4 linked regions of the Neurospora crassa OR74A genome follow. The protein of the gene in region 1 purifies or fractionates together with the protein of each later gene. This does not show direct contact. Links are inferred from orthologs where the notes say so. Each region holds a gene or a part of one and is shown on either strand. Other genes may lie near its edges. The genes, in order: act, hat-4, NCU01843 and NCU06854.

Region 1 (4,153 bases):
AAGGCTGAGAAGCGCGGAGGAAACAATGCGGATGGCGGTAGACACTAGACAGTAAGAATACCTACCCATTGTGTCAGCGAAAAGCCATCTGTGGTTTCTGCCACTGGTTTGCAATCCTGGCCATGTTTGATCATAAGGAAACGGCTGCTTGTTACTCGGTTCCTGAAGCGGTGAGGATCGCTTAGTTGGATTCGGTAGGTATGGCCGCCTCCCCTTCAAGTCAATAAGACATTACGGTGGATCCGATACCTTGACGGCTAGCAATTCCCCTTTTCTCCTTGGCTTGCACGTATCTCACGACCAACGAAAGGGCAGCTGAAGGTGCTCAGAAATACAGAACGCTGTTTGAATTTTGATGATCTCTTCATCCACGATAACCTCGAATTTCCCAGTGGTGACTAAATCTTGCTGCTAAAAGTGTAGTAAATAGAGAAAGGGTGTTGGCAAGATCAAGAAGCCCGCATACTTGACCGCGCCTATCCCACGCATTCGCAGCCGTCGCCGCCCACCCAGAAAACAGAAAAAAAAGGCCATTATTTATGTCTTCTAGTAGAGAAAAGAGACGCCAGCCCCCTTCTGACCACGCTCGCTACTTTTTGTATAAGAGAGACCTGTGCAGAATACACGCGCAATGCAGACATGCTACTTGACGCAGATAGGGGTGTTATGTCCCCAGTTGGCGCTGGCTCGTGACAGTCGTGGATTTGTCCATTTATTGAACTACATACATGGTGTAAGCCGACGACGCTCCGCTTCCAACTGCAACAACCACCTCTCAAGGGCACCCACTTTAGAAGCACTTGCGGTGCACGATCGAGGGACCGCTCTCGTCGTACTCCTGCTTGGAGATCCACATCTGCTGGAAGGTCGAGAGCGAGGCGAGAATGGAACCACCGATCCAGACGGAGTACTTGCGCTCGGGAGGAGCAATGATCTTGACCTTCATGGAAGAAGGAGCAAGAGCAGTGATCTCCTTCTGCATACGGTCGGAGAGACCAGGGTACATGGTGGTACCACCAGACTAGTGACGATTCTGTTAGCGGACCTAGCCTATACTGCCATCTCCACAGCGAACGGGGACTTACCATGACAATGTTGCCATAGAGATCCTTCCTGACGTCGACATCGCACTTCATGATGGAGTTGAAAGTGGTGACGTGGATGCCGCCAGATTCGAGACCAAGGACGGAAGGCTGGAAGAGAGCCTCAGGGGCACGGAAACGCTCGTTGCCGATGGTGATGACCTGACCGTCGGGAAGCTCGTAGGACTTCTCGAGAGAAGAGCTCTGGGCAGCGGTCTGAATCTCCTGCTCGAAGTCGAGAGCGACGTAGCAGAGCTTCTCCTTGATGTCACGAACGATTTCGCGCTCGGCGGTGGTGGAGAAGGTGTAACCACGCTCAGCGAGAATCTTCATGAGGTAGTCGGTAAGATCACGGCCAGCCATGTCAACACGGGCAATGGCGTGGGGAAGGGCGAAACCCTCGTAGATGGGGACGACGTGAGTGACACCGTCACCGGAGTCGAGGACGATACCGGTGGTACGACCGGAGGCGTAGAGAGAAAGGACGGCCTGGATGGAGACGTAGAAGGCGGGGGCGTTGAAAGTCTCGAAAACGATCTGTGTCATCTTCTCACGGTTGGACTTGGGGTTGATGGGAGCCTCGGTAAGAAGGACGGGGTGCTCCTCGGGGGCGACACGGAGCTCGTTGTAGAAGGTGTGATGCCAAATCTTCTCCATGTCGTCCCAGTTGGTAACGACACCGTGCTCGATGGGGTACCTGAGAGTAAGGATACCACGCTTGGACTGAGCCTCATCACCGACATACGAGTCCTTCTGGCCCATACCGATCATGATACTGGCATGTTGTCAGTTTTTTCTGAAAGTCTTGGAGTGTTGCGCGCACGGGACGCGGGGGGGAAAGTGGCATGCATACCCATGATGACGGGGACGACCGACGATGGAAGCTATCGCGACATGTTAGCATGGCTGGGACGTTGGGTCTTGGCGGGGAGGCAAGTAGCTCTGCTGACACGTTGCCCGTCTCAAGCAAGAGCACCTCGCGGGAATAGTGGGAACACTTACGGAAAACAGCTCTGGGGGCGTCATCACCGGCGAAACCGGCCTTGCACATACCCGAACTGGGCGGTTGTTAGCTACTGTCCATCGTCATTGTTCACCATGTAGAACGGGCTATGGGGGGGCCGCGAGGCGTCGATTGCGGGAGGAATATGACGCTTCTCCTAGGAGTCGGTGAGGCGCAGGCGAAAAGGAGGGGAAAGCTTACCCATTGTCGATGACGAGGGCGGCAACTTCTTCTGTTGGCGGGAACGCATGAATCAGCTTGTGCCCATGATAACCAGTAGAGGGAGATGGCGATGGTAGAAGTCCGATCCGCCGGCGACCAGCTCGCCAGCGCGGGCAGACTGGGCAGGAATGTGGACATGTTGTTACGTACCCTCCATTGTGATAGATTAGGTGGTGACGAAAAGTGTCGGATTAAGCAAAAGGTACAGAAGAAGAGTTATTAAATACGCTCGACGATTCCCGGATCGATGGAGCGATGATGCTTTGGCTGAGAGAGGTGTTGCCGAAGGACGTAGAGACGTTGTTTGGGCAAAAATTTGGATGTTGTTCGGTAGGCGGAAGAGTTGGAAAAGGGGAGGTGAATTTAAGGTCAGCTTTGGGAGTACGAGGCGGCGGGTGGATTGAGGGGGGTAAAGGTAGGGGAGGTAAGGGGATGGGATTGCTGTGGTGCCAGGTGCGAGGGAACGGATGGCGGACTGGGGGGGGGAGGGGAGGGGACGGTTGATTCCATTGGGGACGGGACTGGGCCGGGACTGTCTGCACTGGGCATTGCTGGCTGCTAGGTCCAGTTGGTTGGACTGGGCCTGGTCACCTCACGGCGTGGTTGTGGGACTTGGCGGCGGAGGAGGAGGAGGAGGAGGAAGGAAAGGCGGGCAAGGACGACACCGATGTCACTGAGTGGTACTGACAGTGAGTGCCCGGCCGACTTCCAGGTCCCAACAAGCATTCATTTCATCCTCGCCGGGCTGCTGCGCTGCCTGCACTCCATGTTGCCCGGTTCACGACGGGATGGATCACCACAGTAGACTACAAGTACAAACCTAGAGGTAACTGCGCTGCCTTCTTCCCAGGCCGTCCCCTCTCCCTCGCTGTTCGCTTTCCACACCCCTACTCTAAATCATCAAATCACTGGCCGCACCGCCCCCTTGCCCTCTGGCATCTTCGTGGACAAGTTGTCAAGTCGCAGTATCATGCCTGATTCGAGGTGGCTCAAGGTGGATTCCTGAGTGGCCTGCGATCCGTCTGGAAAGTGGGTAGGAGACACCGCCTAATTTTGGGAGGGCAAAGGGGATCTTCCTGCCGCCAACACACTTTGGGAGGCTTCCGCACCTCGGAGGCGACGTCTAGGTTGACATCAATGCCCGTCTGGCAACTGGCAGCCCGTTCAAGATCCCCTTTGATTTCAGTCTACCTAACTACATTGGATACCTACACGACCTGACTTGTATACTATGTAAAAGGATATCATATCGCAGCACGGCCGGGGTCGTCACCGCTGCGTGCCGTTCGACGGGTGCAGCTAGACAGACGGTTCAGTTGTACGTAGCGTAGGTAGTACCTAGTGAGCACGGTGGGAGCGTGGTGCGTGGCTGGGTCCGCCCCCGACGTTGTGTCAGCGTTCAGTCTTCTTCAACCTAATGTCCCTCCCCTGCGTCGTTGCCGTCGTACCTGGTCGCTGTCCCTTGTCGTACCCCGTTCATTACTTGTTTATTACTCCTCCTGGAGAACCGCGATTGCAATTCCAGAAGATCCAATGTCTTCTTTACCGTCTCTTCTGTTGGAGCCTGGCTGATCACGATCTCTTGGAGCTTGTCCGGATCGCAATTCCCATGGCCCCGGGGCCCGAGTGTCTTGAAGGCTCCATGGCCGCCCCGGTCCGGGATCCGACGGAGATAGATATGTAGCCTACGGTATGCACCACTTGGGTCCATACGGTACGGGGACCTCCAGCAGCGGTGTCATTTCCAAGGAAACGCCATCTCATTGGGGATGAGAACGAGGTATTGCCACAGTCCAACACCACCACCACAACCACCACCACCCACTTATTGGCGTCTGCTTCATCC
Region 2 (7,601 bases), on another chromosome or scaffold:
GCAGTGTCATCAACTGTCACAATTAATTTGATATGGCATTCGAATCTCCCTTCTGAGGTAAACGACCATAGCAAAGACGATATCTGCACTAGAAAAAGCATGTTGATCACATATTTATTTATTCATCGGCTACTCCAAAACAACGCTATCCCTCCCTCACTTAAACGCCTTCAACCCCTCCCCACCTACCTTCTTTACCTTCCCCCCCTCCTTCGCCTCCTCCTCCATCATCTTCCTCAACACCCTCCCCAACCTCTCCACCCCCTCCACCAAATCCTCTTCCTCCTCCCAGCTAAAACACACCCGCAAATGTCTCGGGAACCTAATCCCCACATTCTCCTTCGGTATTCCCTCCCCACTAACCTCCGCATTCTCCCCCGGACTCACCACCAGTCGTTCCTCTTCCAGCGCCCGCTCCGCCACCTCCTTCGCCGTGAATCCCGTTTCCGGCAACTCCAACCACAAAAAGTACCCCCCATACACCTCCCCCTCCTTTTCCTTGCGTTCGGCACCAGTCCGATTATCCTCAATCACTCTCACCCCCAACGGCACCACTAATTCGCGCCTGATTGCATCCATCGTCAACGCATGTCGCTTCTGCAAGCCCGGACGGACTACCTCGCTTAAATGCCTATCTAACGCGCCAGACTGGATGAGTTCGTGAATGAGCGCCGCGCAAAACTGTGAAGGGGCGCCGCCTGAGCGCGTGCTTCCCGTCTGGGAGAGCCCGTGAGCAAAGGCGGGCGTGGAGTGCGTCCAGCCTGTGCGGAGGCCGGGCGATAGTAGTTTAGAAAAAGAGCCGTTGGAGACGGCGTGGCCGAAGTGGAGGGATGCGATGGTGCGGGTGGGGAAGAGGGGTTGCATGTCTTCTACTTGGTGATCTTCGTTGGGGATACTGGAAGGAGAAGAACGGGTGTAGTGTGCGGAGAGAGAGAGGTCGTGGAGGGAGGGGCCGAGGGAAATGTCAATGTCGGAGAGGCGGGGGAGGGGAGTGGGTAGGGAGATGGTGGTTTTGGAAGATGAGGGAGAGGAAGGAGAGGAAGAAGGGAGGACGGGCCATTGGAGAAAGTCGTAGACGTCGTCGGAGATGATCAGGGCGTCGTATTTGCGGGCTAGTTGGACGAGTGCGTGCCGGCGGGAGAGAGAGGTGGTGATGCCCGAGGGGTTGGCGGAGGTGGCGACGAGGTAGATGATGTGTTTGTAGCATTTGCGGTGGGGGCCGGGGGTTTTGTAGACCTGGGGGCTGTTAGTTGTGATTCTGAATGGGGGTATAAGTGGTGATGAGAGAGGTGGGAGTGGAAGTGGGAGTGAAAGTCGGACTGGGTGTGAGTGTCGTGAGCATGGACGAACAGGAGGGTAGCGATATAAAATCCAAGAAGAGGGGTTCTATCCCCTTTCTCGATTTCCTTCCCGCTACTCCATATATTCCTTTCTTTGCATCCTCATTCCTCACTTCCCCCCCCCCCCCCCCCCCCCCCCCCCCCTTTTTCTTCACCGAACACCCAAACAACAGAACACAAAACTCACCGGTTTCCCAGGCCATTCTTTCTCCCCCTCCACATCCAAAATCCCCCTCTCCAGCTCCTCCAAATCCACTCCCTCCTCATCCTCCCTCACCCCCTTCAGCTTCCCATTCCCAACCGCAAACCCCGCATCCTCAAAAATCGGCACCGCCAAAAAATAGCACGGACTAACCGCCCACACAGCCCTCGTATACGCCGGATCCGTAAATCCCTGCAGGATATTCGCCAAGTTCTGACTCGCTCCGCCCGTGATACAAATCTGCTCTGCCGTCGTCAGGGTAGGAAACCCATGGGACGGATAAGTCTCGTGGGCGGTATAGTTTTGGGTCAACCAGGCTGCGAGGGAGTGCCGAAGGGGTTCGTAGCCTGGGTCGGCGCCGTATTGGAGGGCGGGGATGTTGAAAGAAAATTTGGATGAGGGTTCGTCTTCGGGAGGAGAGGTGAGGAGCGAGGTGCTGGCGGAGAGAAGGTGGGAGGGGGGAAGGAGGTGGGGGGAGGGCCAGCCGCGGAGGAGGTTGATTTGTTTCTTTTCGCCGGGTTGGGAGAGAGGGGTTGGGACGTCGGGGTCGGAGAGGGCGGGGGGTGTTGAGGGGGACATGTTGGCGGTGGTTGTTGTTAATGTTGTTGATGTGTTGATGTTAACTTGGAGTGATGAAGACGTTGGAATGTTGAGTTGTTGGTGAGATGAGTGGAACCTAGATAAGGTTGGTGGTGGTTTTGGGACCATAGCTTTGTTATTAACCTGGCAGCGAGTGAATCTCAAATGCCGTGGTGAAACCATTCAGTTTATCTCAGCCTAACCCATTTGTCCGTCGTGATCGCCGTCGTGAATGATGTCGTATTGCGGGGAATCTAGGTTGCGGGGCCGGCCGGCCGGAGGTGTGGGGCTGGACGGGGCTGACGGAACACAAGCAATGGATGAGGTGACGTCTGGAGGTCTCACTACCGAATGCGGCCCGGGAGATCTCCGACGACTAGCCGGTATAACCAGTCACAAGCTTCAAATCTGCGAAAGCGGTCTGTAAGATCGGGGAATACACCCACGTTTGATGACGTCCAAAGCAGCCATGCTCTCAATAGTAAAGTCGGGAATCTTGAGCTAAACTTTCGTCAAGATTTTGTGCTGTAGCAAACAGGCTTTTTCGCTGATCATGAGTAGAGATTATGACTAGGCTCTGCTTCTCTATCCTGGTAATTATATTCCTAATCACTCGTAAAGAAATGACAAACCATTCTGGTGCTTTTGGCCGTAATAGTGATACATATGGTGTTCCTTTTTCCCCCCCTCCTGTAAGCCATTTCCCCAAGTGCCCGTCCAAAACAAAAACCAACGCCATATCATACTAACCAACCCGCTTGCTACCCATGCAATCTTGTTCTCATGACTATTACAACGAGAATAACACAGACATCCCAGCAGTAAGAGCGCTCGCTCCCCAAATATTGAATGATCCACCAAGACGACATACCACCTATTGTATCCATGACCCAATAAATCAACGAAACCATTGTAAAAATCCAACAAAGGTCAAGTGCACTTTGCGGCCATGTTAATGACCATTCTGTTTGCATACACTACTGCAAGGTTTCCAGTATCTGATCGATTCAGGAATTGATCTTCTTTTGTTGGCGTAATGCTGATGGTTTCGTTTTCTTTTAATTGGGTCATGAATCCGTGTGGTGGTGTCACGAGTGTGTCGTCTTGGTGTATCATTCAATATTTGCTGAGCGAGAGCAACTACCACCCCCATGTCCGATTAAGCGCCGTGAACACCGGTGGCTTCCACTGGATCCTCTCGGGATCAATCAGCCTCTTTTGCTTCGCTTTGCTCTTCTCCCTCTGCTTGATCAGCTTCTCCGGTACCACAATCTTGTGCTCGCCCTTGTGGTACACCTGCATCTTGAGCGCCTGCAACGTATGTTCCACATCCTGTGTCGTCATGGCCAGGGCAACAGCAATGTTCTCAATCGTGCAAGCTTCCTTTCGCTCGTTGTACCCGAGCAAGATATCGATGATGTTCTCGGACCAATACTGTCTATATGACAGCAGACCCAGATCGGACAGGGGCTTCTCGGGCGAGCCGAGCTTGCCTTCGATTTTGGACAGTTCGTACGAGAATTGGATGAGCAGGCGACCGTATCCCTTGCGTTGGTACTGCGGAAGGGTCAAGATACAGGCGACGTTGTAGCCGTCCGTAGACTCTTTTTCTTTGGAGAAGTACCCGATGATGTGGCACCCCCGGTCGTCGCGGGTGGTCATGACGTAGAACAAAAACGGGTCGACATCGTAGTAAAGGGTTTTGTGGTCGAGAAACATCTTGGACAGCAAGCAGAGGTTGCGACACCAGGTGCGCTGACGTCGCCCGTCGATTTCGAAAAAGGAGACGTAGTCGTCCCGGTAGATTTCGTTTCCGGGCGGGTGGTGTAGAGTGCACTTTTGTCGGTGACGCACAAAGGATTTCAACTCGCCGTAGTACGAGAGACAGAACTCGCAGATGTAGATGCAGTCTTCTTGGTCAAAGATCTGCGGGTAGGGCGAGAAATACCACGGGAAGAGGACGTAGCGGCCGAATTCCACCTTGGAGATATTCCGAATGCGCGAGATCTCGGTAGGGTTCTGTGTCATGGAGCCGGATGTTCGCAACTTTTCAATCTCTTGTTCCCTGGAAAAAGACGGCTGGCGTTGTTTCTTAGCGGCTGGTATTTCGTCCTCATCCATATCGATCTCGTCGGCTTTCCTCTTGACTCCCTTGTCCCCACCAACCTCCAAACTGGCGTTGACGTCGGTTCCATCTTCCGTCTTCCCCCGTTGCCTGTTATTCTTCCCTGGCTGGCTTTCGACAAACTCGGTCCATGGGTGTGGTGTCTGCCCGTCCGATGCGACTGACTGCTCCCTCTTGCTGGCCTTTTTCTGGTTGTTCTTCTTGGACGGTTGCTTCTTGGATACCGTCGAGTTGTTTTTCTTGGTCTTGGCGTCCTTCTGCTTGTCCTTGTCCGGGTTGGGCCACTCGACGTCCTGCTCGAAATCGATTCTGGCGGCCGGCACCCATTCGTCGAGACGCTTGTTGAAGTTGTCAAAGTTGCAGTAGAATTGCCGGCCGGACTTGGTGTCTTTGATACTGAGGATCTCTGCTCGTCGTAATTGGCCTTCTTTCATCACCATGGCAATACATCCCATTCTGTTTGGTGGTGTTAGTATCTGGTTTTTCAACGACGATGGGGGGTGCCGTGGACAATGATGGGACGGAAACATACTTGATGGTGTCGGGCGTCGCCTTGCCCTTCTGTCGCTTCTCGTCGGAGCCGACAGTGGCATCGCCACCTGGGGGACTCATGATGGCGGCTATGTGTGATCCAACTGTATATGATTCGGTCGATAACTTGCGATGGTTTGCGACAAGATTTGATGGTTGTGGACGATGGGCGATTGAATGCGATCAATCTGACGGGCGACGCGCGACGTCAGTCTTGAAGTGTTTTGTAGTGTTCAGCGACTCTTTCAGTGGACGCTTCCCGAACGTTTTGGAGGGGTCCTTCAGTGGCGAGCCCACGTGTTTGGGCCGTCATTTCAGCGGGGATGCAATGGGACACAGCGGCAGATCCCTGCATGGCTTGCCTACCCTGTCAATCGTCCAGGAACCGATTTCCCCAGTTGAATTTTTAAGTGAACACCAAAGTGGGGCCCATATTCAACATCCACTTTCACGTTCATACAAAAAAGTTATCACCTTCTGGAAATCTTCCGTTTGTCTCAACCTTTTGTTTACTTTCTCTCATTCCAAATAAGAATTCAGCACCAATTGGACTCCACATAACCTCGGCCGCCAATTTGTGATTGGACATACCACAAGTGATCCCTCATCGGCAGTGACACCCTCACTTGTCTGTCTTGACTCAACACTCCATCACCACCACCACCATCAAAATCACCAAGGCAGGAGACCCTCCTGTCACCAACCATGGCCCCGGAACTCTCCTCCAACTGGAAGAAGTTGCAAGAAAAGCTCAAGGCCCCTCAACCAACCAAATCAGCTCCCATCAGCCAAGAAGCCGCTTTCAAGCAAGCCATTTCCAAAAAGTCCATTTCCTCCGAAACCCTCAAGCGCAAGGCCGAGGAGAGTCAACAACAGCAACAAGCCTCCAACCCTTCCAAGAAGCCAAAAAGACAAAAGTCCCAAACCCAGTCTCAACCCAGCAGCCAAAAACCAACAGAAGAAAAAATGGGCGGCAACGTCCAATCCAAGCCCACCACCTCCTCCTCCCCAAACAGCACCCTCCCCTCCCTCCACCTCTGGGCCGACGAACAAGGCATCTCCTCTGAATCCCTCGCCGAAGCGTACAACCTTGGCCTCCGCGGCACCTCTTCTTCCTCTTCTTCTTCACACATCCCTCTCCTCTCCACCCTCCCCCCCGCCATCCCCAACGCAGGCCTCACCCTCCCCGGCCATTCTTCTTCTTCCCCTAAAAGCAACAAAAATGGCCTCCCCTTACCAACCGACCTTCCCTCATCCCTCACCCTCTCCAACGGTCTCACACTCGACACTTCCACCACCACCGACCTCGCACTAATCCTGCAAGCAACCAAGTCCAACACGCTCGGCAAATACCTCTCCATCGACTGCGAAATGGTCGGCACCGGTCCCTCGGGCGCCACCAGTGTCCTCGCTCGATGCTCCATCGTCGACTTCCACGGACACCAAATTTACGACTCGTACGTTCGCCCCACTGCTTTCGTGACCGACTGGCGCACGCATGTATCAGGCATTTCCAAGCGCCACATGGCGTCCGCACGATCGTTCGAGTCCGTACAAGCAACTGTGGCTGCCCTTTTGAAAGGTCGGATATTGGTGGGTCATGATGTCAAGCATGATTTGGAGGTGTTGGGGTTTGAGCATCCGCATCGGGATATTAGGGATACGGCCAAGTACAGTGGGTTTCGAAAGTATGGACATGGGCCGAAGCCGAGTTTAAGGGTGTTGGCCAAGGAGGTTTTGGGCATCGAGATTCATCAGGGACAGCATAGTAGTGTGGAGGATGCGAGGGTAGCCATGCTGTTGTTTAGGAAGGAGAAGCATGGGTTTGATATGGAGAATAGTAATCGGTATGAGGAGGGGCAGGCGAAGAAAGGAGGTAATGGTGGTGGTGGTGGAGGAGGAAAGAAGAAGAAGGGCAAGAAGTGAAGAGATGGAAGGAGGGAGGAGTCTATTAGGTCTAAGGTGCCTATCCGCCTTTACCTGGATATCATGTTTGCATCCCCAGATTTTCTTGTGTAGGTATACCCATTCCTGCTTTCTTCAGCTCTTCTCATCAGCAACTGATCAAACAGCAGAAAGCCAAATCTATCTTGTCCTTGACATCGATCGTCGTTTTCTTGCTTCGCATACAATCCGAGTGAAACTAGCAAACGGACGCCTAAAACTCACAAGATGCCATGCCGCGGTCTATATGTTGCTGCCCGAAACCATCTCTAACAATCACCAACATCCGCCCTTTCCTTACTGGCCATGATCACCATAATGCTTTGCTGCACACGAAACTGGAGGCAAAATCATCTTCACTGCGTTCCTCAGTAATGATCACAAGGGAATACCCTCCATCAGCTCAAGCGCACCCTCCCTGCCAACTGTGATAATCACATCGCCCAACGTCTTGGTCAGGAAACCGGCCTCACTATACGAAAAGTAGTACTGGACCATGTGTCAGCTTCGTCAACTCCAATCACCGGAAGAATAACTCACCTCCCACTTCCGCTTAAACACTTCAACGTCTGTCTCCGTCAAGCTAGGATGCTCCACCATTAAGGCCGGCACGATCACGCTGTCAAACCTGTTCATAAAGGCCTCCCTCCACAGCCTCAGCGCCTTGACATAATGTGGACCGATGTTCTTGATCTTTTCGACAATGAGCGTTCCGTTGGACTCGGTCGTGATGTGGTTGATCAACTGCGTGACAGATGGGAGGTATCCTCCAGGGAATATGTAGTGGTTAATGAAGCTACAGACGTTAGCTAATGATACACCCCACAAGGGACCGACGACTTACTCTTCACGCTTCGAATAGCCTTTGTGTCGTCCCTCC
Region 3 (7,474 bases), on another chromosome or scaffold:
CGTGGCTGTCTTATTCCCAAAGACTCTTGTAAGGCAGTCTTAATTCTTGTTTGAGTCTGCTTGGTTGGCGTGTTACACCTCCCGGTCCAGTATGTTTGTGCTATGCAGAGGGCAAGACTAACATGAATACGCACCTCTCCGCTTTCGGTAAGGTACACAGCCGCACTTTGAGTTTTTCTAGCTATTGAATGGCTGCGTATTGGGATGATGGACACTGCACACTGTGATCGCTGGTGGTGGAGGAGGGGCTAGAGAGGCTGGCTGGGCGGCCCCCAGGATGTGCTGAACTGTGATTGGTTCCGACAAGAGCAGGGAGTCATACATTATCAATCTCTTGCATGCCAGTGGCCTTTCCCGCCTTTTCCCAGACGTGCCAGAGTCCTTCGCGCCCCATTTCTGGCCCGACTGGATGCGCGGGGTTCTCCGTCTTTCTGACGCTTCAGCCAATCAGAACTGTTAACACTCAACAGAGGTTAGGTTCTTTCCCAATTGGATTCGCATGTCACCGCAACTTTGCAGCGTCTTTGACAGAGCCGGCGCCAACAGCAGCGAACCGGACTCGTTCCTGGCGGCTTCTTCCCGTGTTATGTACTGCAGTATGTAACCGTACATTACCGATGACCAGACATGGCCATCTTTGGCTAACAAACGGGCTGGATGGATGAATTCCAAGATGGCCTTGTAAAAAGGCACACCACAATCGACGTGGGAACATACGATATCCATGACATCGTGACAATCATGTTATAACCACGTGTAGAAGACATATGATTCAATTTCCCCAAGCTTGGCTACTAGCTCTCCGTCTGTTCCATGACCATTCCGTGACACCAAACCACATTAGACCAAGCCATATCATTTGACGCATGTGGTTTTGATCGCGTGACTTTGCAGACATCGGGATTCCTGGAGCTTGTAGCTGTCAAGGTGGGACTCTAATCGAGACAGCATCTTGAAATCATCAAAGGTCAAACGGCCACTGAACAGCCACGCGCACAGACCACCAATATCAGCCCTGTAGCCTTGTCCAACGGGTCCAGCTCCCCCATCAGCTGCAGCTGAGCTCAGCGTCGCATTTGGTCGATCTGGAATGAACCAAACCCCATCGCTGCGATCGACCAGTCCGTTGTCGCGACTTCATTCTCCGGCCGAAATTCAACTCCAGTTTCACATCTCCGCCTCGACGCCCTCCAGCATTTGCAACAGCAAACTTTAGTGATCCCACCGTCATCACCAAATCAGCGCTTAATCGCACCACAAAAGAGAGCAACAAACTCAACGGCGTGCGCGCGCCTCGCTCCTCAGAACGTCACGAACCAGAACAACCCGCCGCGTCTCAACCTAGGCAACACCCGACAGCCACCACCACCACCACCATCATCACAACCGCAGCCGCAGCCGCAGCCGCCACCGCAGACCACTGTCAACAGAAAACACAAAACAAAGGCGCAAAAATGTCAGCCGACGACCCCTCCTCGATCCCAACCTCCACCTCCCGCCTCTCCTCCCGCCCCACCAAGCGTCTCCGCGCCTCCTCTCCCACCTCCCTTCAAGCCTCCCACCTACAACAACTCTTCGCCAAACCCGACCGAGAAATCATCATCCCACCGCTCCCCTCCTCCACCACTTCTGGCTCCTCTCGACTACCTCCCCCTCCGGAAATCGTCACCAACGTTCAGGGTTCTTCCGCCGGTGCGGGATCGGGCGAGTTTCATGTATATAAAGCTGCCCGGAGGAGGGAGTACGAACGGCTGAGGATCATGGATGAGGAGGTTGCGAAGGAGAAGGAGAGAGAGGAGTTTGAAGCCAAGAAGAGGGAGAGGGAGAGGGCGGATGAGGAAAAGACAAGGAGGAATCGGGAGAAGAGGGACAAGAAGAAGAATAAAGGGAAGGGGGGCAAAGGTGGAGGTGGAGGTGGAGGTGGAAATGGTAGTGCAAGTCAAGGAGGGAGTGTGACGACAGCAAACGGGGCTGAGAAGAAAGAGACTGCAAAGACTGGGGACGAGGGAGGCGCAAAGGAGCGTGCAGCCGGAGCTGGAGCCACTAGCAACGACACCGCTGGGGAGAGTACCGCAAAGGAAGCGGACAAGTCTACTTCGGCCACGGCGGCGGCTGCTCCTGGGGCCGTAGTACCCGGAAATGCGGAGTCTGGGCTACTTATCGTTGAAGACGACTAAAGGGGGATGTTGACAGTATTGATTTTACCCAAGCGAGTAGAGCAACCATCAGCGACGGGGGAAAGCATAGACAGCATCACGCTCGGGGTTACGGAACAAGGATTAGACCTCTCGACCAGGCCTTTCAGAACCCCTTTTATCTACCATGCCAAGGTCCATCTAGCATATACATAAAGGGGTGCTCATGCAATGGGTGCTATGCGTGGACCACCAAAGAATCATTAACGGGATATCATACCACCTTTTGCCGGACTGACTATAACTCAGTAGACCCTGGGCTACCCACCCGCACCGTTCATAACATTTACTCATCACCGCCGCCAGAGCTGACACCGACACCTGGCTGTGCCTTTCTGGCACTGCAGATATCGTCAACTCTCAATAGGAGGCAGGCAGCCTGTTTGTATAGATGGTTAGTAGACAGTTAGAGAGCATCGAAACTGAACGTCAAGAAAAAAGACAAAAAAAGTCCAAACATACCTCGATAGCAGTCTTCATGCTCTGCACCTTGATGGCCTCGGGCTCCCAGACTCCGTAATCCTTCATATCCACAATGGCACCAGTATCGCCGTTGATACCCCACGAATTCTTGCCCTCGGCATGCTTCGCGCGGAGATCGGTGAGCACACGGACGGGGCTCTTGCCGGCGTTCTGGACAAGTGTACGGGGAATGACCTCGAGGGCCTCGGCGACGGCCTTGTACGGCCATTGTTGGACACCCTCGATGCTCTTCGCGAGCTGTGTTAACCTGACGGACACGGCCATCTCGGTCGCACCACCACCGGGCGATAGCCTGGGGTGGAACATGACGTTGCGCGCCACGCCCATGGCATCTTGCAGGTTGCGCTCGATCTCGTTGAGAACGTCCTTGGAGGGACCGCGGAGAAGGACGGTGCAGGCCTTGGGGTCCTTGCACTTTGTGAGGAAGGTGAAGTACTCGTCGCCAATCTTCTCGACCTCAAACAGGCCGCAGTTAGTGCCAACGTCGGATTCCTGGAGATCCTCTACTCGGTTGACGATAGTAGCGCCGGTCGCCCTGGCAATTCTGTTGTTGTCGGTCTTGCGCACACGTCTGAGCGCGGTAACGTTGGCCTTCATGAGATAGTGTTGTGCGAGATCTGTGAGTGAAATCATCGTTAGCTTTCCTGCCACCGACGTGATACGCGCTTCCCATTTATGGAGTCGAACTCACCAGAGACACCCTTCTCTGTGATAACAAGGTCGGGGTTAAAGGCAAGGATATGCTCGCACATCTGCTTGACCTGCTCCTCCTCAATCTCCAGAATGCGGTTCCAGTCCTCCTCCTTTGTGATCTCAATGTTGGTCTGCGACTCGCCCTTCTTGTACTCGAGCGGGCAGTCGAGCAGGATGATGCGCGGGTTCTCGATCCTGCGGCGCATCTTGGGGTGTGTGATGTCCTTGTTGAGCATAACGCCATCCAATACCCTGCTGTCCTCAATCTCGCCGCCCGGCACCTTCTCCACGCGCGCATACCTCTTGATGTCGACCTCCTTCTTGCCATTACCCTGCTCCCACGTCACGGTGCGCACGGCCTTGAGCGCTAGCCCGCACATGAGTTCCGACCATCGGGAAACGTACTTGGTGCCGATCGAGGACGAGATGAGCTTGTACATGGCCTGATCATCGTTGATGTCGATCGGGAGCGAGATGTCTTCGATGATCTGCAGGGCGTCCTTGAGGGCGCGCTTGAAGGCCGAGATGATGACGACGGGGTGGATGTTGCGCTCGAGCTGGGGGAGGGATTGCGCGAGGATCTCGCCGGCTGTTTGTGAATACCACCTGTCAGTGAACGGTATGCGGCGCAGCTGTAGCCAAAGATTTCCCTACCAAGAATGATGACTGTTGTGGTACCGTCACCAACTTCTTCGTCTTGTGTCCGGCTGAGCTCGATCATGCTCTTGGCTGCGGGGTGCGACACTTCGATCTCGCGGAGAATAGCATGGCCGTCGTTGGTGAGGACGATACCGCCCATGGGATCGAGAAGCATCTTGAGCATGGCCTTGGGGCCGAGGCAGGATCGGATGATATCAGCGACACTACGAGCCGAGGGGGGGCGGTCAGTCAAGGTCCATGGCGGGGTGAAAGGCGGTCTTATCCGCTATTAGGGGGGGAAGGGCCTGGGAACTGTACGTTTTGGCGGCGGCGATGTTGGACATCTGAGCCTTGCGGCCAGTCTGCCTCTCACCACTGTTGGTGTCTGTAAGGGTAGGAGGTAAGGTCAGTCAGTATGCTGCATGGTTACTGCCGGCTGACAAGTGAGGATATCCCCAATATCAGTGCGAAAAGGGGTAAGAGGTAGCTTCGAGCGCTGGAACATACTCATTACCAGGACCGGTGCCTGCATGGTGCCTGATTTATATGGGTTGCTTTAGTGGTGACTGAAAAGAAGAAAGCTGTACGGTAGGTATAGACTATGTCTTCAGATGGTGATGCTTCAGAATGCGCGGGGGGGAAGCAGGATGGTTGGCAAAAATCTGGAGAAGGAATGGCCGCCGTTGTTGTTTGCTGTTCTCCAGTTCAATGATCGGGCAGGCAGCTTCAGCGTCAACCTCAGGTAGGTCAAGGTGGGATGCTGGACCCCCTCCGAAAAGTTGATGGAATCGACCTGGACCAAGCTCCCTGCCGCTTTCGTCGCCAGTGGACGGCACCCCACCATGGACTGAAAGGTGGGGCAGAGGACTGCCGAACAGAACGGAAGAAACGTCCAGTGTCGTGGCATCCGCTGCCAGCTGTCAGCGCTAACGGTCGCGCAGCAACGCATTGTTGATGCTTGATCAGGGGGAATATTCTTATACAGGTCATAAAATACATTTGCGTCATGTCCTCTCCATGTTTGAGCTATCCAAACATGCTAGCTTGCTTGTTAAGTACAGTCATGGGGGGAGCTCTTGTCCAGTTCCACGTGTGATTCAGCTCCATATCCTGTAAACCACCAAACGCCTTACGCTGTGCCGTGTGAAACAACTATACAACAATTCCATCTCAGGCTCCCCAGCTCTGCCAAGGTCCATTCAAAGCATCATGCTTCTCCTCCTCGAGGCCCTCCCCTTGGACAAGGACCCGCCACTGTCATTGCCGACATCTTCCTCATCCTCTTCCTCCTGCGCTAACTCTTCAGCCCACAAGCTTTTCTTCGGCACCAGCATCGAAGCCCTTTTTCGGGAAGATCTTGGCTTTGCGGATGCTGTTGCTGTTGTCTCGGTCGAAGCAGCTGAGGACGCTCTTCTTGAACCTTTGGGTGCCTTCTTATTAACAGGAACATCGCCGGTAGTCGCTTCTAGCTGGGGTGCTGCGCTATCCGGAGACGCACAACTAGCAAAGTCGTAAAGATCCACCGAGGCTGAGTTCGTCGAGAGTTGTGCGTCCTCGTGCTCGTAATTTTCTGTTGGGATCGTGGGTACGGAACGGCTCATTGATTGCCTCCCCTTTCCACCCCTGGGCCGTGTTGTAATACTATTACTCAGCTCCTTCTGAATCTGAGCCTCGACCGCGGCGTTTTCATCGGTCTCGTCCGCGGCTGGGAGGTTTAGAGTTGATTGTTCTTGGACCGAAGGAATTGTCATTGCAGGGGCTGCAGTAGAGAAGGATGAGGCGCGTCTTCTCCTTCCCAGGTCTACTGAGCTTGGGAGGATGCCGTTTGGAGATAATATTCCTTCATCCGGCTGTGGTTCCTTCTCCTTCTCTTTTTCAAACAGCGCACTGCTGGTCAGACTACTTATATCCACCGCCGGCGATGGCTCGACCTTGACCTTGCTAACTGACGTCGGTGCTGACTCGTCGCCCTTGCGTTGCTGCTGTTGCTGTTGCGATGTCGGCCTGTGTAGGAACTTGCCCTCCCCAGAAACGGCATCAAAGAGCTCTTTGGTCGGTCGTCGCATCTTGTCGCGCAGATTGGGCTCTGTATAGCTGATAGCCGCTCTAGCACGCCTGCTAGGCCGCGACGTCTCTCCATTGGATGAAATGTGGGCTGGCGGCGGGGTATCGTGGGTCACAACAGTGCTTTCAGAGGCGCGCTCTGGTGTTCCAGGTGTGATCAGAATATCGGTTTCAGGAATCTCTGCAACTTCAGGAGTAGGTTCCAGAGCCGGCGGGAGGATCTCGACTTTCGTGAATGCCGACGTAGAATTTCCTTGCGTTTCTTCTACTGCTGACTTCTTGTCCGGAGCGGGCAGGTCGACTTTCTCTTTACCCTTTGACGCCTTGTGCACCTTCACCGGCTTAAAATCGTCGGCCACTTGGTGGGGCTTCGCCGGCTTCTTCGGAGAGACAATGTGCTCGTTCGTGCTCTTTGCTGACAGCGGGGCTCTCGGTTTCGTTGCGGTCTCTTTGATGCTTTTCCTCTTGTGCGGGTCGCGGGCAGAGAGTCCTTTCTTGATCCCAGTCTCATTGCCATTCTCCTTTCCTTGTTGAAGCTTGGTTGCCTTGTTGGGTTCGTTTTGGTTGTCGCCGTTCAACTTTCGCTTGAGGCCTGCTCGTATTGTCTCACTCGGTACAGCCGATGTGGACTGTTTCGGTGGTTCCATCGGAGGGGGACTGAACATTTTGGAGGGTTCTGCCACTCTCGATTCTTTGGGTGGGCTGAATAGGATCATGTTTGGTCTCCTGTCGTAGTCCAGTTTAGGCGGCGATAATGACGGCGGTACTTGAAGAGCCCTAGGGCTCTCTTCCACTTGCTCGGTAGTTTCCGTTTCTTCAGCCTCGGCGTTCTTGTTTGGCGATGGTGAACAAGGTATGACCATATCATCCTCGACAAACCTAGATACTGGCGGCGGTCCGATATCTGGCGAGTCATTCGAATCGTCTGCCTGCATGCACAGCGCCAGGATTTCTTCACTGCTGCTTGGCTGTCAGCCATATGCTTCAATGTATCATGCACCGGGAACTGCAAGCAACCTACTTCATTGTGGCTCGCGCATACGTCTTGTTCTCGTATATCGGCGGTAGCCTTCCTTCCTGCTCAGCCAGTAGTTCCTGGTCGGCCTCCTGGCGTGCTCTTCGTAAGGGAGGGCTCCGGTGAACGCTCGGTCGAGGCTGCGCGTATCGCCTCTCTTCTGAAAGGCGCCGCTTCGAGGGCGGCTCCCCTAAGCTTGCCAGCAGCGAACTGAGTTCCGCCAACTGCGTCTCCATCTTGGCCTTGACCTCGAGCGCATGATCGGCCACCCTTCGCGCAGCGTTGTCTTGGAGCTCCTTTTCGAGGCGCAAGACCTGACCACGGAGTTCGAGGTTTTCCGACAGCAAACGAGCGCATTCATTCTCCAACCCACGGATACGGAGTG
Region 4 (7,702 bases), on another chromosome or scaffold:
CTCGGCACGCAAAGGTTCGAGATTCGCCATGCTGACTCCAGACTGAGGAGTTGTCGTTCCAGAAGTCGGCCTCAGCTTAAGGTTGTTTACTTCATTTATGAGCTTGTTGATTCGGGTACGCTCAGCATCAACGAGTTGCCCAAAGGTAACCGCGAACTTGTTCTGGAAATCCTCCAGTTTCCTGTCAGAGTCCCTCTGGGCTGCCGAAACCTGAGTTACTTTCGTCTCCAGATCCGTAACCTGTTTGACAAGTCCCGAAACATTCGTCTCTTTCATCCCCAGGTCTGTAACTTGTTTGGTAAGCCCCAAGATATCCAGAGGGGCCTTGGTCTCCAGATCTGTAACGCGGTCTTTGAGCGCCGGGAATTGGAATGACACAATCTCGGCTGCTTCATCCAGCGCTACAAAATCGACGTTCTCTAGCTTCTCCTCCTGTTTTGCCATCTTTTGCTCAAACTCGGCAACTTGAGCTCGGACCTGGTTAAGTTCTTGTTCTCTGGTTCCCAGCTGGTAGCGCAGGTCGGCGAGCTCCTGTCGTAGAGACGCTACCTCGCTAGCAGAGCTTTGCTTGGAATTATCTTGTGCCGTGGCGCGTTGTTGCTCAAGCTGCTGCTCGAGTTGTTTCTCGTACTTCTTTTGTTGCTTGGCTAGCTGTGTCTTGAGTTCTTGCTCTTGGGTTTCCTTAAAGTTTCTTAAGTCTGACTGCATCTTGTTGATCCGTTCTTCCAGTTTGGTGCTCTGTTTCGGAAGGTCTTTACTCTGCTTTGCAAATTTCTGTTCAAAATCTTGTCGCTGCTTAGCCAGCTCTGTTTGGAGTTGCTTTGAAAAGTCTTCTTGCTGCTTCGCGAGTTTGTTTTGATACTCTCGTTGCTGTTTGCCAAATTTGTCCTCGAGGTCCTTGAATCGGGATTCCATGTTTTGTTGGTCCAGAAGTCGTTTAGATTCGAGACCGTCGTAAACAACTTGCAGCGCGTCAATCCTGGTTTGTGTGAAGGACTTATGATCTGATAAAGCTTGCTCCAGTTCAGCGATCTTGTCGTCGTACTCCTTCGAGCTAGCAGAAGCTGGAGGCAATAACGCAGCTGGCAGCTGACCAGACTTCATCAGCTGCAGTAAGCAGGAGAGGAAACCCTCTCTTGCCCTTTTGATACCATCTTCAGCAACACGCACCATATTGGAATACTCCGCACGTCGCTTGGTGTCGCGATCCAGATACTTCTTTTGAAGTTCCGGTACTGAAGGGAAGTCTGCCAGCTTAGCCGTGCATTTTGTGTACTCGGCTTGCCGCTTTTCGAGTGCATCTTCAGCCTGAGTGAGGTTATATTTGTGCGTAGTATAACTGATAAGAGAGTCGCACAGTGCCCTCAGACATTTTCCCATCTCTGCGTCTGATGTACTCCTGGAATTGCTCGTAGGAGATGAGGCAGTGGCCGCTGCAATAGAGATTAGCACTCGTTTGATCTCTTGATTTGATCCGGGATAGCTATTGATAGCTTACGCGTGTTCAATCCATGGTCAGGTCGAGCACGGTCGCCGGCTGATGCGGTTTGTGTGTTGACTGTCAGGCCTCTTGCAGGTGCATCAGACAAGCCGCGGTCCCGGTCGCGATCCCGATCTCGATCCCTATCCCTATCCCGGTCCCGATCCCGGTGTTGACTATCACTCCAACTGTTTGGTGGCCTGTTGGGTAGAGAACTTGCATGACTGGAACTGGGCCTCCGTTCATCTCTGTAAACATTACGAGGCTGGCTATCGCGACGCGGATGGGGGTCTGCCGATGGTCGGCGGTCGCTTAGAGTGGAAGGCCGCCTCGGGTACGAGTCCGGCGGCCTGGAAGACATGGTGCGTGACACCAGGCGGACGGATGGGGGTGTGCAGTGAGACGAGACGCTGCAATCAAGCGTGCGCCTAACAGACAATATGTGGCGAGGTATAAGACGAGAGTGTAATTGTGACAATGGTGGGGCTGACCTGTGCCAGCGGTACAGACCGACGTCAGTCAATGTCGGAATTGAGCCTGAAATGTGTGTCGATGTTCAATATTGTAGGTTGAAGATTGTAATGCGATACCGATGCGGGTAGACGCGTAGATAGAGTCAAAGTTTTAAGAGGCCCCGCACCTCCTCCAGACGGGAATGAGATCAGACTAGGGCTTGCCGCACAAAGATACAACAAGCTGATGTATTTTTCTGTTCCTTGTCTAAATGGACAGTCGAACTAATAGTTCTGAATGCATTCCGGAACGCCAGGTTTACAATCGTCGAAGATGTCCTAGGGAGAAGAGAGAGGGGAAAAAAAAAAAGAGGAAAGTGTCTGCCATTTGGGTGGGGAAATTGGTTTAAATATTTCTGGGGAACTACTATGAATGAGCCCAAGGTAGCAGAGTTGCAGATTTGCAGCTCTTCCACTCCCAGGTCACAAAACTTCTCCTGTACACTCAAGGAAGGCGCTACGGACCCTTGTCATTCTGTCCCTTCAATGGCCAGTCATAGTATGTAGGTATGACTGGCCGAACGTCACATTTATCTTATTGATATCTTCAAGTTGTATTACTATTTCCTTCAGCTCTTTCATTCTCGCTCCAATCAAACATCCACTGCATTGGTACCCTATGTCCCTCTACACTTAGCCTGGGTTGAGGAGGATGACAGCATGCCTCACATATAGTCTCCTGACCCAAGAATCCCCTGAGGGCCGCTTCTAGCTTCAGGTCCCAGTGAGTAGCGTACCTACCTACACTACTTACTTGCGTCCATGTTTATTTTGCATGTTTGCATCTTCTTCCCTTTTGCATCCGAGTCACGAACCCCTGCCAACACTGTTGCCTTTTCAAAGAACTTCCATCTGTATATAAACAGGTCGTCCGACTTGCTTAGTTCTCTTTCCAAATTGACTGCTGGACAAAGAGGCTTTGTGTTGTGATGATCAGCTCAATCAATCGAATTCCGATGTGGGTCTAAAATCCGGGGCCTTGTGGGACCCCCAGGGCCGCGCCCGGGAAGGTTCAGTCCCACCCGCCGGCACAAGTCCGAGGACTGTCTTCAGTTCCTTCAAGTCTCCGCCCTTCTCTGTCACCGTTTGGATCCTCAGCCACAGTGGCGTGTAAGTCGACGTATTGTTACGTAAACTCGGTAACAAACCACTCGCTGGAGGCCCCGGCCTGTCTACCCATGCACGCAATTGGAGAAGTCGCTGCAAAGTTCCATCACAGCGCGCGGCGACGCGCACTGCAGCTTTGAACTTCCGTCGTCGTACTTCTCGCTCTTTTTCAAGCACATTCCATCATTCACTGCCAAACCATCCCTGCATCCACCTGCAAACTAATCCATCACCACCCACCCACCGTGATACCCAAATCCAAGCGACCTTTCTTGGAAAATTCTGTAACGTCAATCGGCATATTCAATATTAATATCTTGCAAATCAGTGGGCAATATGGCTGCTGTAAGCTCCCCACCTACCCCCCAACATCACAATACCTTGACGGAACACCAGCTGACCTCTTGTGCCCATGCCATAGCAGGTCGTTACCGTCGGAGAGAGTAAGGACCTCCGGGGTCTCAACCTCATCGCAGCGCACTCGCACATCCGCGGGTTGGGCGTCGATGCCGATACACTCGAGCCCAGGGTTGCCTCCCAAGGCCTTGTCGGCCAGGAGAAGGCGCGTAAGGCGGCTGCTGTCGTTCTTGAGATGATTAAGCAAGGGAAAATTGCCGGCCGTGCTGTGCTGATCGCCGGTCCGCCCAGGTTAGCTCGTCTTGCTGTGCCAGTCCTCATGCGCATACCGTTTCGTGTACTGACCTAGCTATGGAAAAACAACAGTACGGGAAAGACTGCTCTGGCCATGGGTATGGCCCAGTCCCTCGGCACCGACGTCCCTTTCACCACCCTTGCCGCTTCCGAAATCTACTCTCTAGAGATGTCCAAGACCGAGGCCCTCACCCAAGCATTCCGCAAGTCGATTGGTGTCAGGATCAAGGAAGAGAGTGAGATCATGGAGGGTGAGGTGGTGGAGATTCAGATCGACCGGAGCGTTACCGGCCACGCCAAGCAGGGCAAGCTTACGATCAAGACGACCGACATGGAAGCTATTTACGACATGGGCAGCAAGATGATCGATGCTATGACCAAGGAGCGCGTCATGGCCGGCGACATTATCTCGATAGACAAGTCATCTGGAAAGATTACCAAGCTGGGCCGATCGTACGCAAGGTCGCGCGACTACGATGCCATGGGCGTCGACACCAAGTTCCTGCAATGCCCCGATGGCGAGCTACAGAAGCGCAAGGAGGTCGTCCACACAGTAACGCTGCACGAGATCGACGTCATCAACTCGAGGACCCAAGGCTTCCTCGCCCTCTTCTCGGGCGACACGGGCGAGATCCGCAGCGAGATCCGCGACCAGATCAACACCAAGGTGGCCGAGTGGAAGGAAGAAGGCAAGGCCGAGATTGTGCCCGGTGTTCTGTTCATCGACGAGGTGCACATGCTCGACATCGAGTGCTTCTCGTACATCAACCGCGCACTCGAGTCCGACCTGGCCCCCATCGTCATCATGGCCAGCAACCGGGGCCACTCCAAGATCCGCGGCACCGACTACAAGAGCCCCCACGGCCTGCCGCTCGACTTCCTCGACCGCATTTCCATCATCAACACGCACTCGTACACGCCCGACGAGCTCAGACAGATTCTCACGATTCGCGCTCAGGAGGAGGAAGTCGACCTTACCCCCGACGCGCTCGCCCTGCTCACCAAGATCGGCGCCGAGGCCGGCCTCCGGTATGCGAGCAACCTCATCACGACGTCGCAGCTAATCTGCGCCAAGAGGAAGGCCAAGCAGGTCGGCGTTGAGGACGTCCAGCGCAGCTTCAAGCTGTTCTACGATCCTGCCAGGAGCGTCAAGTTCGTGCAGGAATCGGAGAAGAGGCTCATCGGCAGTGATGGCGTGGTCGATTTCCGTGTCAATGGCGGTGCTACGGGAGAGCCAGCGGCTACTGCGGCTGGTGGTGATAGCATGGATACCAGCAGCTAAACAGTCATGGGACAATGCGCTACAAGGATTAATGAATAATCTTGGGGTTATGATTTTGTTTCGTCTAGGCGTTTAATTGGGATGGCTCATCAAAAAGGCGTCTTTGTTATGATAACACTGTTTTCTTAAGCTTTATGTGTGCCTAGTCGTGGTTTTTTGTCATGTTACTGATTATGGTGATGGCATGGAGTCTGCAAATATCCGTTTGTATCATACAACGAATCGAATCAAAGTCGAAGCGTGGGGTAGCAGGAAAGGGCATAGTAGGGACGAATGACGACCAGCTGCTGAGGAGTTCCCAGCATGGTGATAAGGCTTTTGATTCTCTCGTCGCTTGGAACCGGGGGTATACTATCACACACAATCGTACAAAACCTAACCATGATGATCATACGAAGGCTGCAACCCTAGACCACTCCCCCTCCCCTCCGCCCACCGGCCTGAACTCAACCGCCTCCTTGAAGTATCCCGCATCCTGCCATGCCTTCATGGTGGGCCCGTCATACGGCCCTTGGCTTCCTCCTCCGTCTCTCCCATCTGTCCACCTAAACTCCCACATTTTGGGTTGTCCGTTTAGTGACGATGGCTGCTCTTCCTCCTTTTCAGGAACAGTAGGCTCCACCCAGGTCTCGCCCGTCTCTGCTCTATACTCTCTCACCAACCACTCCCTCTCCTTATCGTAAATATCCGGATAATCCCTTCCCAACAACTTATCCGCCGCCTCAGTAATGGCATCAATCGCCTCCCTGATCTTTTTCTGCTTCGGATCCTCCACTTCCTCCTTCTTGTCATCCACGTCCATCGAATCGATGCCCTGTTTCCTTTCCTGCCTCTTTTGCTTCCACTTGGGCACCTTCTTGGGCCCCTTGGTTTGATCTTTTCCAAGTCTTGCCAGCGCCTCCAGCGCCGTCTCCCCTTTTTCGAGCGTCAGGATCAAGTTTCTAAGCAAGTCCCCAGTGGCGATCTTGTCATCTTCCCTCTCCTGCGCGCGCCTTTCCGCCTCGCGCTTCTCGTGCGCCAACGCCGCTTTTTTGATTTCCTTTTTGGACAAGCCTTCCAGCCACTTATCGTGCACGGCATTTTGGTCGGCCGCTTTGCGGATGTAGTTGCCCGCCTCGTCAAAGGCACCCTCTTCATTCTCGGCTTGCATGTTGAAGGCGTCAATCTTGGGCGCATGTTTCTTCAGTCCGCCTAGGCCGACCTCTTCGTCTACTCCCTCTTCGGCGATGGCGGCTGCTATGGCTTCTTCGTCGTCGTCGTCTTCGTCTTCGTCGTCCGATTCGGCTGAGGCGGCGGGGTTGATGTTGATGGTTCCGCCAGCTTTGGAAGAGAGGTCTTGCCCTTCGATTTCCGAGTCGGCGAGGAAGTGGACGGATTTTTTGTCCTTCGCAGAGCCACCACCGGCTGTCGTTGGTTGAGCACCGTCGTCGTCTTCCAAATCGCCAAACATGTCTACCTCGTCATCTTCATCGGCATCTTTCCCTGCCCCGTTGGAAGGCTTGTTGTAATTATCCATCATCTCGGCCAGATCCACGTCCTCGGCGTCTTTGCCCTTCTTGCGGCTCTTCCCTCGGGCTTCCGCGCGGTCTTCCAGGTTGTCATTGTCGGAATCGGAATCGTACCCATCGATGTTGACCGCGCCGCGCTTGGTGGCTCGGGAAAGCCCACCGATCACGTCGGCGGCAAGAACCTCCTCGTCAGCTTCGTCGAGGTCGTCATCGTGCGCTGAGGGCGCGAGCGCGGAGGGGTTGCGCACGTCGAACTTGACTTTTTTGTGGGACGGCCCGCTGGAGGTGTCGTCGTCGTCGTTGGAGCGCGATTCGCCGTGGTGGGCGCGGGCGTAAGCTTCGCTGGCGCGTTTGGGGCGCGCGGCGGAGAAGCGGGAGGACATGGTGGTGGCTGTTGTCTTCAATCTCGTGTGTTGGTGTGTAGGCGTTGACGTCAGCGTGTAAAGGTTATGTCGTCTTGATAGAATGGCCTATTCTGCCCCTGTATCGCAGACTTTGTGTAGATATGGCCTGAAATGATGACTGTTTTGCCTGGGTCGACGGCGAATGACAACTCTACAAGTAGAGGATGGTGTTTAAGAGAGGATCTAGATGGCGAATTGGGAATATCAAGGAAGAACATCACTAGAGGTACCTTACCCGTTGTCAGCCCCAACGGATAACATGGAGCTCTCCACTGCCATCAAGGTCCAGAGCGTTCTGCAGTGGACAGGCAGCGCTCAAGGTACCTTTGACCTAAGCGTTTAAGAAGGGGGGGAGCTCGCGCCACGGCAGCACGGTTTCACAGATCTGACGCCACGGCGGCACCTTCTCACCCCGCCAATCCGGGCCGCCGAGGCGGCAGATACATAGAGGTAGGTACTGTACGGTACCCATGCCAGGGCTCCAATTATTACCTAACGTGCCTGTAACTTTCGGGCCCAGTTATGTCATCTGCGTTGTTGCCTTTGGAACCTTCCACGCGGTCAGGTTATTTCAACATCGTCGCAACCTCCCTTTCACTATCGCTTGTCACGCTCTGCTGTTCCGGATCCCACTACCTATTCTGCGAAGCTTACCTCGAGATCTCCCCTCTTAATACAAATTCCCTGTCGTTTCCCTTTCTGCAAAATACTTTACTCCATCTCTAGCAGCTCCCTCGCGATCATGGTAAGCTATCCTT

What was found.
Region 2: the proteins of act (region 1) and hat-4 purify together in Saccharomyces cerevisiae (affinity purification with mass spectrometry; 10 studies listed by BioGRID, with this or other methods). This does not show direct contact. The link is inferred for Neurospora crassa OR74A from reciprocal best matches to the Saccharomyces cerevisiae genes ACT1 and ESA1.
Region 3: the proteins of act (region 1) and NCU01843 purify together in Saccharomyces cerevisiae (affinity purification with western blotting; 3 studies listed by BioGRID, with this or other methods). This does not show direct contact. The link is inferred for Neurospora crassa OR74A from reciprocal best matches to the Saccharomyces cerevisiae genes ACT1 and CCT3.
Region 4: the proteins of act (region 1) and NCU06854 purify together in Saccharomyces cerevisiae (affinity purification with mass spectrometry; 4 studies listed by BioGRID). This does not show direct contact. The link is inferred for Neurospora crassa OR74A from reciprocal best matches to the Saccharomyces cerevisiae genes ACT1 and RVB2.

Annotation. Positions count from the first base shown.
Region 1 is NC_026505.1:5,085,417-5,089,569, reverse strand, and holds act (actin, variant), read right to left. Parts: upstream 2,801-4,153; 5' UTR 2,465-2,800; coding exon 2,458-2,464; intron 2,318-2,457; coding exon 2,287-2,317; intron 2,141-2,286; coding exon 2,085-2,140; intron 1,967-2,084; coding exon 1,936-1,966; intron 1,858-1,935; coding exon 1,086-1,857; intron 1,022-1,085; coding exon 791-1,021; 3' UTR 790-790; exon of another isoform or gene 721-789; 3' UTR 323-720; downstream 1-322. Other genes in the region: NCU04174 (hypothetical protein), read left to right, coding at 1-48. UniProt on the Saccharomyces cerevisiae protein: Actins are highly conserved proteins that are involved in various types of cell motility and are ubiquitously expressed in all eukaryotic cells.
Region 2 is NC_026504.1:5,714,998-5,722,598, forward strand, and holds hat-4 (histone acetyltransferase esa-1), read right to left. Parts: upstream 5,002-7,601; 5' UTR 4,859-5,001; coding exon 4,779-4,858; intron 4,703-4,778; coding exon 3,262-4,702; 3' UTR 2,649-3,261; downstream 1-2,648. Other genes in the region: NCU11146 (aminotransferase), read right to left, coding at 157-1,236, 1,528-2,304; NCU05217 (RNA exonuclease 4), read left to right, coding at 5,483-6,703; NCU05216 (methoxy mycolic acid synthase 1), read right to left, coding at 7,100-7,210, 7,262-7,517, 7,566-7,601. UniProt on the Saccharomyces cerevisiae protein: Catalytic component of the NuA4 histone acetyltransferase (HAT), a multiprotein complex involved in epigenetic transcriptional activation of selected genes principally by acetylation of nucleosomal histones H4, H3, H2B, H2A and H2A variant H2A.Z.
Region 3 is NC_026502.1:2,189,275-2,196,748, forward strand, and holds NCU01843 (T-complex protein 1 subunit gamma), read right to left. Parts: upstream 4,778-7,474; 5' UTR 4,543-4,777; coding exon 4,518-4,542; intron 4,396-4,517; coding exon 4,329-4,395; intron 4,235-4,328; coding exon 4,026-4,234; intron 3,961-4,025; coding exon 3,370-3,960; intron 3,296-3,369; coding exon 2,658-3,295; intron 2,654-2,657; exon of another isoform or gene 2,575-2,653; coding exon 2,482-2,574; 3' UTR 2,178-2,481; coding exon of another isoform or gene 1,455-2,177; 3' UTR 1,018-1,454; downstream 1-1,017. Other genes in the region: NCU01844 (hypothetical protein), read left to right, coding at 1,455-2,177; NCU01842 (hypothetical protein), read right to left, coding at 5,210-7,034, 7,096-7,474. UniProt on the Saccharomyces cerevisiae protein: Molecular chaperone; assists the folding of proteins upon ATP hydrolysis. Known to play a role, in vitro, in the folding of actin and tubulin. In yeast may play a role in mitotic spindle formation.
Region 4 is NC_026502.1:1,744,319-1,752,020, reverse strand, and holds NCU06854 (RuvB-like helicase 2), read left to right. Parts: upstream 1-3,206; 5' UTR 3,207-3,435; coding exon 3,436-3,444; intron 3,445-3,520; coding exon 3,521-3,747; intron 3,748-3,822; coding exon 3,823-5,032; 3' UTR 5,033-5,420; downstream 5,421-7,702. Other genes in the region: NCU06853 (hypothetical protein), read right to left, coding at 1-1,433, 1,499-1,841; NCU06855 (hypothetical protein), read right to left, coding at 5,421-6,923; NCU06856 (ubiquitin fusion degradation protein), read left to right, coding at 7,687-7,689. UniProt on the Saccharomyces cerevisiae protein: DNA helicase which participates in several chromatin remodeling complexes, including the SWR1 and the INO80 complexes.